Daphnia pulex: one gene and its partner. The protein of the gene in region 1 binds, or shares a complex with, the protein of each later gene. Links are inferred from orthologs where the notes say so. Each region holds a gene or a part of one and is shown in the gene's direction. Other genes may lie near its edges.

Evidence for each region. Proteins that work in one complex are often made in the same cells at the same time.
Region 2: dynein axonemal assembly factor 10-like (region 1) and p53 and DNA damage-regulated protein 1-like share a complex: the UniProt entries of both Homo sapiens proteins name them as parts of the PAQosome complex. The link is inferred for Daphnia pulex from reciprocal best matches to the Homo sapiens genes DNAAF10 and PDRG1.

The regions. Positions count from the first base shown.
Region 1 is NC_060027.1:3,760,189-3,766,657, forward strand, and holds dynein axonemal assembly factor 10-like, read left to right. Parts: upstream 1-2,885; 5' UTR 2,886-2,991; coding exon 2,992-3,165; intron 3,166-3,238; coding exon 3,239-3,339; intron 3,340-3,399; coding exon 3,400-3,632; intron 3,633-3,692; coding exon 3,693-3,808; intron 3,809-3,880; coding exon 3,881-4,015; intron 4,016-4,074; coding exon 4,075-4,172; intron 4,173-4,234; coding exon 4,235-4,442; 3' UTR 4,443-4,791; downstream 4,792-6,469. Other genes in the region: ESF1 homolog, read left to right, coding at 1-250, 322-486, 549-674; N-alpha-acetyltransferase 30-like, read right to left, coding at 1,442-1,635, 1,711-1,834, 1,898-2,431; uncharacterized protein LOC124208227, read left to right, coding at 5,313-5,444, 5,535-5,654, 5,716-5,799, 5,895-6,036, 6,093-6,401. UniProt on the Homo sapiens protein: Key assembly factor specifically required for the stability of axonemal dynein heavy chains in cytoplasm.
Region 2 is NC_060023.1:8,878,284-8,883,502, forward strand, and holds p53 and DNA damage-regulated protein 1-like, read left to right. Parts: upstream 1-3,317; coding exon 3,318-3,546; exon of another isoform or gene 3,547-3,609; coding exon 3,610-3,770; 3' UTR 3,771-3,791; downstream 3,792-5,219. Other genes in the region: hydroxyacylglutathione hydrolase, mitochondrial-like, read right to left, coding at 1,805-2,187, 2,260-2,486, 2,553-2,674, 2,737-2,849, 2,924-2,990; intraflagellar transport protein 140 homolog, read right to left, coding at 3,792-4,277, 4,358-4,576, 4,642-4,818, 4,884-5,028, 5,094-5,219. UniProt on the Homo sapiens protein: May play a role in chaperone-mediated protein folding.

The DNA.
Region 1 (6,469 bases):
AGAATTCGAAAAAGAAGAATTCCGTAAGAAGAAACCTAACTCAAAGGCCAAACAGGTTGAAGAGAAGTCGCATTCCGCTGACGAGGCAGACAAAACCGCTGAACTCGAGTTACTTTTAATGGACGATAACGATGGCAAAAGACATTTTAATCTCAAATCTATCATGAAGGAAGAAAAACAATCCGGTAAAAAGAATACAAAGAAAGCCCGTGAAGCCGTCGCTTCTAAATCTAAAGATGATGACTTTAAGGTACATCTAACGTGATGAAGTAATCTAAAATTCCTAATTTAACTTGAACATGTTCTTTTTGATCCAATTAGATTCAAGTCCACGACCCTAGATTTGCTTCGTTGTTTACTTCTCATCACTTTAATTTGGACCCATCCGATCCTAATTTCAAGAAAACAGAAGCCATGGAAACGATTCTGCAAGAAAAACAGAAACGAAGGAAGGACGACCCCAACGCTGAATTGACGAATCAATCGGTACATTACCCTTTTCTGTCTCATTCTCAATGTCTTGATTATTTTTCACGTTTCCACTACAGGAGCAGGAGCAAATGGAAGTTAAAAAATCCCGGGTTGACTCTGAATTATCACGGTTGGTGCGCTCAGTCAAAGTCAAGACATCGATGCAACAGAATCAGAAAAAATTTAAATCATCCCGAAACTAAATACAATGGTGAGAATACAATAAACAACACAAACAAAATTAACTAATTTTCTCTTCGTACGAATGGTGTATTTCACTTGCACATCAAACGCGGTATAAACAAACTGCCAGTTTGAAGGATGATTATTCCAATTGGGTAGTGGGCTTTTTACTCCTGAAGATGGGGAAAACAAAAAAAAAAGGGGGGGGGGGAAAGCACACTATTGAAGGAACCAGTCAGCTTTTGTGTTTTGTTTTTTCAGAGAAAAGCATGGACGCGGCTTAGAAAATTCAAGTATTAGCCAATTACTTTCATTGAGAAGAAATATGGCTGCACGATAATACAAGGCTGCAAGACCACACGGGGCTATAAAAGAAACCCGTCATTTATGTACAAACTCGCGAAACAATTGTGTGAAGGTCGTTCAGCATCTGTGCTGTATTGGTTTCCAAAGAGACGATCTCCGGTGCTTTAAAACCGAAATTGGTGAAGTGAGACAACTGAAAAAGTACTGGCGCGGACAGAAGCTTCCGAAGAAACAAGTTCCGAGAGGGATAAAGAATGGGGTAAGGTAAACAACCAAGACTAGCCGTGAAAGTTTCCCAGCTAAGGGAAAGAAAGAGATAGGGTTCGTAGGACAATTCTATTAAAAAACAAACAAGAAATGATTGACAGAAAAGGGTAGGGAAAGACTGAACCGGGATAGATAGAATAAACTAAACCCTTTAATGAGAACACGTCAATACGGGCAAGGCTTTCAATGTGAGGACAGTATGATGTGTTATTCTTTACCTAAGCCATAATTTTAGACGTAAAGCGTCCACACCATTTAAATAGTACCGAAAAAGTCTCTTGTCGCGAACGAAGCCTAAATTTTCGTACAGACGTAGTGCAGGTTCGTTTGTAATTTCTGTTTCCAAAACAACTTCATCAGCTCCGTCAGCAACCATGGCAGCAATAGCTTTCATAACTAAATTGGATCCTGTTCACAAGTTACAATATTATTTTTTTTTTTTAGAAATTGCATTTTAAGTTGTTGACAATATTTTGAACATACCTATCTTTTCTTGTCGGTACTTTTCATCCACGGCCAACATAGCGATATAACCTCGCCGGACAACTTTCTTATGGACGTCCAGTTTGCAGACAATTGCTCCAACACATTTTTCTCCATACATTGCCTATTATTTTAAAATATGAAAAGTTATCTCTAGAAGTTAAGGAATAACTATGATATTGCTTACTAGGAAACATAACATGGGCCAGTTGTGTATGAAATAGCGGTAAGTGTATATAGAATAAGGCTCTGACAAATCCTTCTGTATAAGCCTCATAATGTCAGGCATTTGAAGCTCAGACTGATATTGTACATAAGTCACTTTCTTAACCAGTGTACTGGTTGATGAGTTCTTAGTAAAATTCTCACCACTGTCCTCACTTGGGGGATCACTGGGACCACTCCCAACTGTCAATCGCTTCAAGGAGGCACCAATCACTTCAGTCGAACTGGAATCCAAATTAGTACATTCTTCTGGACTAGATGTGTGAATATTGGAACTTGAACTCTCACTAGAATCTGACAAATGAGTTCCATTGCATCCATTAATATGAACACCATTTTCTTCAACAATCTGCTTCCCAGTAGAAAAATGACCATTTAACTTATGGTTCTTGCATGAATCAGGGTTTTCATTGTCTAAATTGGTTTGAGACACAAGGCCTGGTTCCGAAGGCTGGTGGTTATTACTCGTTCGGTTAGGTTTCTTTTTAGGTGCCATTTCTTCTTCATCAGTTCGGGCCTGCGGTGTGACTTAGATCAGATCACTATAACTAGAAACCATAACTTCACAAATGTTTAGACCCTTCTCAATGCTGTACTTAATATTCCTTTTTGGCTTTCTGTTCCTTAACCACAATACTTCCAAATCCAAATCATCGAAAGATAAAGATAAACTAGAAAAGCAATATTGATAATAATTAAAAATTATTCAGACTTCGGGACATTAGTAGCCTACACGACCAAACTCTTCCACACAGCAGAAGGTGTACAGCTGCTCAACTCAAGTGCCTAGATGGCACAATGGAAAAACTTTATTAAATATAAAAAAATTCAATTTGAAACAAATTGAAACTAAAAAATCTAATTTTTTTGTACAATTATATTTTTTATATTTGAATATTTTTGTGGTTTCATTTAAAGTTTTGTCATTCAAAAATATAATTTGACAACCTTTATTGTCATGGTTACGAAAATGTTGACAGTCAATCAAACTGTAGTCGGCTTTTTGGTTTGTTATTGTTGAATAGCAGTGGTTTGTAGAATTTATAACTTACAAAAATGACAAATTCCCGAATCCTTATTTTGAACGAGAAATCGGTGAATTTTACCCTGTTTTGTGTCAAATGGGTGCCATGCAGTGCTCGAGTGGTCGTTTTAGGCTCCCACCCAAAAGGAACGGGAGTCTGGCAAATATATAGTCTGTCTAAAGGAGAACTTGAGCTTATTACCGAAGTATTATGCCTTTTGTCTCTTCTAAATTTTGAAAGATTTTAAGTCTATTTAACAGTTGGATATTTCTTTTTAGGTTGAGAAACCACTCGCTATCAAATGTGGGACATTTGCAGCATCATCTTTTGAAAACAGACACTTGGCCACTGGAGACTTTAGTGGGAATTTGAATTTGTGGTGAGTTTAAAGATCAGTGGTTTTTATATTTTCCTTTACTTAAAGTTTCCTTCATTCTAGGGACTTGGAGAAACCAAACTCAGCAGTATATTCAGCCATTGCACATACTTCAATAATCAATGATATTGATGGGGTTGGGGGGATAAATGTTGGAAAAGGAGCAGCTGAATTGGCTACTTGCAGTAGAGATGGTTGTGTAAAGATTTGGGATGCACGTCAAAAAGACCGTCCAGTCGCTATTCTTGAACCAGAAGAAGGTCAAACGCGACACGACTGTTGGACCGTAGCCTTTGGTAAGGACCAGTTGCATAATAATGCCCAAATTTGACATGAATACTAATAAAATTTAATAGGAGGTGCTTACAGTAGTTCAGAGAGACTTTTAGCAGCTGGATTCGACAATGGTGACCTCAAAATCTTTGACTTGAAGACAATGAAAGTTCAATGGGAAACTAATGTTGGAAATGGCGTAATAAAATTTGACTACTTACATATTACTTGTTTTCCCCCTATATTAAAGTTTAGCTTTTATTTTAAACAGATATGCAGTATCGAATTTGACCGCAAGGACATCGAGCAGAATAAGCTGACTGTCTGCACTTTAGATTCGCGTATTTTTGTGTTTGATTTAACCACAAAACATCCCACTAAAGGTTATGCCTTTGTCCGACAAAAAGTAATTTTTTTAGAAACACATTTAAAAATAATGTTTGCAGCATTAAGAATTTTGTTTAGGCACACAAGTCAACGGTTTGGAGCGGTAACCACTTGCCTCAAAATCGAGATGTTTTAATGACTACTGGTGGGAATGGATCATTGTGCTTATGGCAATAGTAATAGATTAAAATAATGTAAATAGCGCATGAGTACTCACTAATAATTCTTTCATGATCAGTGAATATCCAGCTAAAAGAAGCGCTAAAGCAACCGACGGGACTCTTGAGGGTGTTGCTGGTAACTTGAAAATGATTCATGAAATTGGAGTAGCTGAGCAACCAATAACGTCCTTCAACTGGAACGCCGATAAACTCGGATTGGCTGCTAGTACCAGCTTCGACCAGACGTTGAGAATCCTTGCAGTTACTAAACTTAACTGCCTTTGATATGCTCAAAAACTCTTATTTATAGATAATTAGCACAGTGTATTTCACACTTTGCAGTGATCTGGAATTCAGTTCCGTTCGGAACTTCTGTGTCATTGGTTCGAAAATCTCTTAATCATTTTCAACCATTCGTTATCTAAATTCTACAATTGAACATGGATTGACCATGGCCACTATCATTTTCTTGTTTTTTTTTTTCGATGATTCAGTCGTAGTCGTAACTTAGTGATCAGGTTTCTGACCTTTTTTCTAATTGTGTTTTGTTCTGTTTATGAGTTTGAAATATGGTATGGTTATTTTTCTGCCAAAAATTATTTGCAATAAAATCTGGAAATGTGGAAATGTCAAACACTATCTTTTGCCAACAAAACCATTAGCAAAGTTACTATTTAATTGTCCATCGCATTTAATTTTTTAGAGCCTTCTTTACGGAAGTTCACTTTACAGACGTTCTTGTTATTTTTAATATTCCCATTGATAATTTGATATAACTGCTACATTGATTCCTTTTACGGCAAAATGAGCTGTATAAGATAGATAGTGAATCTTGAAAGTTTCCGATGGGTCACAGATTCACTTGCTTAGAAATTAGCTTCACCACTCTCTGCGGAAAATCGGAAAACTCTGGAAAAACCGAAAAGGACGGATCACAAAATCCTTTTATCGAAAAGCTGGCAGCGCTGTCGCTGACCAATTCTATTATTGACAGTTTGTTTTGACGTGGATATTCGGTGTGCTGACGTTTTTCTACTGCTTTGTGTGTGGTCCAGCTTTTTTGTTTTGTACAATTTAAGTCATTGCGGTAGAATCTCTTCATTGTTAATCTCTTATAAATTTACTTTACCTGATTGACATAGTTGGTTAATATACATGGAGGAAACGGAAACTGTCATCGATATCATTGATATTAGTCGTGAGCTCTATGACCTTAAGAACAAGTATGAACGATTGAAAGAAGGCCACCGGAAATTACTGATTGTTAACCAAAATTTAGAAGAAAAGGTATTTAAACTTGTTTGTACAAATTTCATATATCAAACAACTGTAGCAGCAAAACACTAATTTGCTTTTTTCTTTATATTCAATTTGAAGCTTCTTCAAAATATCAATAAATACGAAACAGAAAAGTTCTCAATGGTCCATACTATTTCATCACTCAACCACCAATTAGAAGAATTCCAGAGAATTAATAAAAAATTGGTAACTGAAAATGTAAGTTTGATTAGTCACTTTTTCATTATTTTACAAATCTTACCATTATTTAATTATATAGGAAAGGTTTAAACTAGACATCTCTGTTGCCATCCAATTGCTCCATTGCAAGCCATCAAGCTTTTCTGAATGCAAACTTGAAAATGTATGTGAAAAGAAAAGAGTCAGATTCTTTTCATTTGCAACTTTAAATCTTAAAGTTACAAAAATCACTAATCTATCCATGTATTACTATTATAGCTTCCACAAGAGTTTCAAGATAAAGCAAAGTTCCATATGCAACAAGAGTTTCTCCCAAGATATAAACCAGAGAAGAAAGGAAAAGTTATTCGGGTCCCAATTTCTGCTTTCCCTTCAACAACTGTGATATACTCAATACCTGGTATGTCAAAGTAAGCTAAATAAAGTAAATTGATCTAATAAGTAATTTTTTGTAAGATGATAACGACGATGATGGTGGGGATATTAACACAAATACTACTGTGCCTGTCGAGACTATGGCTAAAGTGCTGAATGAAAGACAATTAGAGCTTTACGATCAATCAATCAATGGATCCAGCTTACAGTTAAATTGTAATAATGGTCTCCATTCATCTCACTCCATGTCATTCATGGATAATGGGTTGCAATATGTAGACCATGGAACACAAACGTATCCTAACTTCATCGGGGAACGAGAAAAGACGAGAAACACTTGCATATTTTGTCAAGGAGAACCGTCGACAAATCGACCTGAATCAATTAAAAGTATAACTCAGATTCATTAAATAAAAAAGCAATAAGTTGCCATTCATTTAAAAATTCAATGGATTTCT
Region 2 (5,219 bases), on another chromosome or scaffold:
TAAACAAAACACAATTTGAAAAATAAATTCTCAAATATAACTATCAACAACTAAAAACAAGAATCATTCATGATTCGAAATAAAAATGAATATTCACCCATGATTGCGTACTGGTAATGCTATGAAGAAGGCAGATGATGACAATTAAAAGGCTGAAGTTGTTGCTGTGTCGGAGATGCTCCATCGACTGATTTCTTTCGTCTCTTCTCTCTCCTTTTATACGACTTTTTCAAACCCTGACCTCTCAACTCAAGCCTTGCGGCTATTGTACCTACTTGATAATTATGCAAAACGTCCCGTTCTCACCCAGCCTCTACACCACTGCATGACACGTTTTTCGTAATGATCTCGGTGACCTTCGAGTGTCAAGGATAATGCAAACTGCTGGCCTTTCCTTCTGCAGGTTGACGTTGCTGGGGATGGGTCTACAACAAACAAAATCAAAATGAATACCAAATGGTTGTGTAACAAAACACGTCTCATTCGTACCCAACCTCTACAGTACTGCATGACACGTTTGATAACGTAAAGTCCCCGTGACCTTCGAGCGCGAAGGAAGGACAAGGACATGCAAACTGGCCTTTCCTTCTGCAGGTTGACGTTGCTGGGGATGGGTCTAAAACAACCAATATCAAAATGAACACCAAATGGTTATTGGCTTATGGCTTTAAAAAAACTCACTGTATACCAATTGACATTTGAGTCATTTGACTCGTTTCTTCGGTGAATGAATAAAATCTTCCATTTCATAATTCTTGCTCCTTCCACAAGTCCACATGTCTGATTGCCTTTACATGTTGTCTCCCACTTTTCCCATGTCTTTATAATAAATAAATGAAACTAAATAATGTAATAAATCATGTAAACTAACACAACTATTAACTAAATCTCACAAAGTGGGCCTTCATAATAAATCATATTAATCTACACATAAAATCAAGAATTTGTATAGCAATATAGTACCTACATGTAAGTTTGATTCGGATTGAAACTAAAGGACAAGATCCTAAGACCATCAACGGATCAACCTCATCAACCAAGCGCCATAACTCACTATCCACCAAACTACAACTCTCACTCAACAAGTTTTTCCTTGCTCGAATCACAGCATCAAACGATTCTAGTCTAGATTATGTAAAACTTGCATACAATGAATAAAAAGGTGAAAAATTGCTTGAAATGCTGTTCAACTTGCACACAAGTACAACTGAAAGTGGCACTGATATCACAGTCTGTGCTGATATTTATAAAACTAAATAGGCTACAACAAACACATAAAAGCTCAATACTTTAACAACAGTTAATAACTATACATTAAGATACTTAAAATAGCACAAAATAATTAACTTACTCACCAACTTATAGACGAACGTACACCATTTTTACTTCGACTCGGTTGCTTGCCGCTAACATGTTCTACATCAACGACATCTAACTCGGTAATCCATAACCAGACATTCCCACCACATTCTATGATTCTATCTAAAAATACTTGGTCTGTTGGAAATGTTGAGTCGATTAATTTTGTAGTGGTCTAAAAAGCATTATTGTTATGCAAGGAATGGAAAATATCTCACGTAAAAATCAGCAGCAATGCGCAAACTATTCAAAATCTAAAATCTTCCGTCGCAGTAGATATGTATTTTCAACATGCGTTTCCGCGATCAAGTGTGACGAAAGCTATAAAACTCTTCAAAGGGAAAATAACCCGATGACATGTACAGTTAGTATCAAACATGAATATAATGGTGACATATTGAAGGACAACATTATACCAAAAATGTCGGTTGAACATGCATGATTTTCATACATTGGCTTTGAATGAGTCTTTCTCAGTGCGCAAGGATTTCATCGTCTCAATAGGATCGGTTTGTTTAGCATGACTTTGAACAGAGGGTTCGTGAACGCGCATGAATGGATTGAACTGCTTTTCTTCGCTCAATAGAGAAGGAACAGTAGGTTGGGAATTTTCCCGTTGCTCTCGGGCCCAAGATATACGTTTGGAAACGAATTCATTATTGGGTTCTACATGAAGTCCAAAAGCTAGATTTTGCAAAGAGTATTCATGACCACAGTAAACACGAGTATCATCAGGAAGAGCGCCGAGGACATTGATCAATGCATGATACATTTGATCAGCCGTTCCTTCGAAAAACCTACCACATCCTCCTTGAAAGAGAGTATCACCTAATATTGAAGAAACAATATTGAAAATATTTACTCATTTAACCACTAGAATATTTTCAAAGTTTTACTCACCAGTGAATACTGCTGATTGTCCATTGACACTGCTTGAGGGCAAATAATAACAAATATGCCCAGAAGTGTGGCATGGTGTAAATAGACATTGAATTTCTAGGTTTCCAACCTGAAGTTTATCTCCATGAGAAACCTTCTTATTCAACGCTCCAATACGGTTATCTCCACCATATACTGCAAGCCCAGGAACAAGTTTTACTAATTCTTCATTGCCACCTGCATGATCCCTGTCATTAAAAACAAAATCCCAAACATTTAAATTAAAAATTTACTATACTAATGATAAAACAAACCAATGATGATGAGTAGTAAGAACAGTGGTCAATTTCACATTTTCCTGATTTACAATTTCAACCACTTTGCTAGGGTTTACTGGGTCTACAATTGCAGCTTCATTTGAGCTCTCATCCACCAACTATAGTTTAAGTATGAAATGTATTTTACATGTGATAAGCCGAATCCAAAAAGTTTGCATACCAAATACATGTAGTTATCTTGCAAAGCTGGAATGATATGGACTTTCATCTTTGAGTCAATACAAGTTTTGAGCTGGCTGTGACTTCTTGAACCAAGGGCTCTCCAAGCAGAAACTACAAAGAATAATTTTTAAGAAAATGTTCAATTTGTTGACAAAATAATGTTCAAATAAAAACTGTAGACGTACAGCGAAAATATGCCGCAGTTAACGCTTGCAAACACGATTCAGGTAGAAGACGAACTAGAGTATTCATCTGTTTTGTTGTTTTTGAGCCACTTGCCGATAGCTCTTTCTCACAGAGCAGTCGACAGACAGTGTTAACACGTTAAACACTGAAATTGCGCTTGATTGATTAATGATTATCAGTTTTGAATCAAACTCTAATATTCAAGATATCATGCAGAACAGTTACAATAAAATAAAAGGTAACAAAATTACTGAAGACAGAGAAACAATACAAAATTTGGTTCTTTTGATTTTGTTCGTCAATTTTGGCAATGGGGCAAATGAATAGCAGACGATACAACAGCAAACAAGAACAATCTCTTCAAACTTTCAAACTAAACAAAAAGATTGTGCCATGGATTTCGAAAAGACACAACAGTTGATACTTCAAACTGAAGCTGCTGCCCAAGAGATTTTTATCACCAGAGACGAGATAGTAGCATTGGATTTCAAGCGCCAAAAAACACGGGAAGCTTTTCGGGCTTTGAAAAATGGCTTGGAACCTAGTGAAAAGGCATGGGTGTCGATTGGAAACATATTCGTAAAAATAAGGACGTCCAAGGCGCAAAACTTGTTGGAACGAGGTATTTAAAATTAGCATTTAAATTTCAACAAAATTAATTCAAATTGTCGCCTTTCTCCTGCAGAGTTAAAAGAGGTTGATCAAGAGATATCTGAACATCGCAACAAGCTTAAAGAACAAGTGAAACATTTGAGAGATCTTGAAGGGAAACCAGAACTGAAAGGGTTTGATTTAAAACCAATATCTAAAGAAGCTGAGATTATAATGCAAGCACTTTCTAAGTGAAGTCTGAATATCATCAATAAATTATTTTCTGTGATTAATAATTTCTCTTATATCCTCTGAGTTTTCCTCTCCATTTTGGTTACCTTGTTCGAGATATAATGTTGATGACACATTTTGAATTAGGCATAATTGAGACACCATGTCAGGATCCAAATAATTCATGAACTTTGGAACAGTTGCTTTCATCCCATTCAAAGTTTGGAGGGCTTCATTGTGCATTTGGTGATCAACATAAAGTTGGAAAATAGCAGAGTAAACATTTCCTGGTTTCAAAATGCCTAAATCCATGCTAGATGATTGTAAGATACTTTCAAACTGAGAAATTCCTTGTAGGTTTGTGGCAGACATTTTTCTGATGTTAATGAACTGCTCCAGAAAAGCCATTTTCATATAAAGTGCTTTAGATCTTGTTGATTGACTACTTTCAGGAGTTTTGGACATAATTTTGTGCGCTTCTTTCAATGCGTTCATTGCGTTGTCGTAGCTTTGGTATTCATCAACCTCGGCCTAATAATAAGAACACATTGCCGTATCTATTTAGTTTTTAGATAAATAATAAGTTAATAACCAATAATTAATTTACAAACCTGTGCACAGGCTTCATAAAAGCCGACAAGGAGATCGGGCGATCTAGCTTTCGTGTAGAAGGTCACAATGTGTTTGACGTATTCCGGGTGGGAGCGCCAGTCGAGGGTTTGTAAATAGTTTCCAGCAAGTATATAAATATCAGGCTGCCTAGACACGTTTGCGAAGAAGACAATTCGATCTGTATCGCCTGATTTTAAGAGAGCTTTCATCGCTTGATACTAGATACAAATTTCCCATTAGTTAAAGAAATCAAACAAAAAAATAAAAACCAAAGATCAATTACTTTATCTCCTGCTTGAGTAAACTTCTTTGCCGCTAACTGGTAGTCACCCTGGCGTTGAGCAACTTCAGCCAGTTGAGTCAGCAATCGGCTGTTATTTTCCCCATTTACGAGTTGATCGGCCAACGCTTCTGTCAACGTGACATTGTATTTCAAACACATGTCAACTGCATCGGAATTCTGTAAAATAAATTCCCTTTCAGACTTAGATTCAGACGTAGAAAATATCGAGATTCTAATCTTACCTTTCCTGCCATGGCAAGCAAATCTACAGCTGCATCATAATGGCGATGACTTGCTAAATAATCAGCACAACGTTGCAGTGATGCAGGATTCGAGTTTTTGTCCAAACGTCGAGCTAATTCTAATACAGCTTCATGCTGTTCCGTTCTTTGAAGGGCGCAAGAAAAATAAGCCAAACATTCACTTGTTATACATTTCATGCAAGATATTACCTAGAAGCCAAATCGAGGGCAGTATCAAGAAGTCCAGCTTTACTGTACAGCATGACTGCTCGATCGAATCTCGGTTGGCGATCGCTGTTAGCCGATGAACCTTCAAAATAACGTGCAGCTTCAATC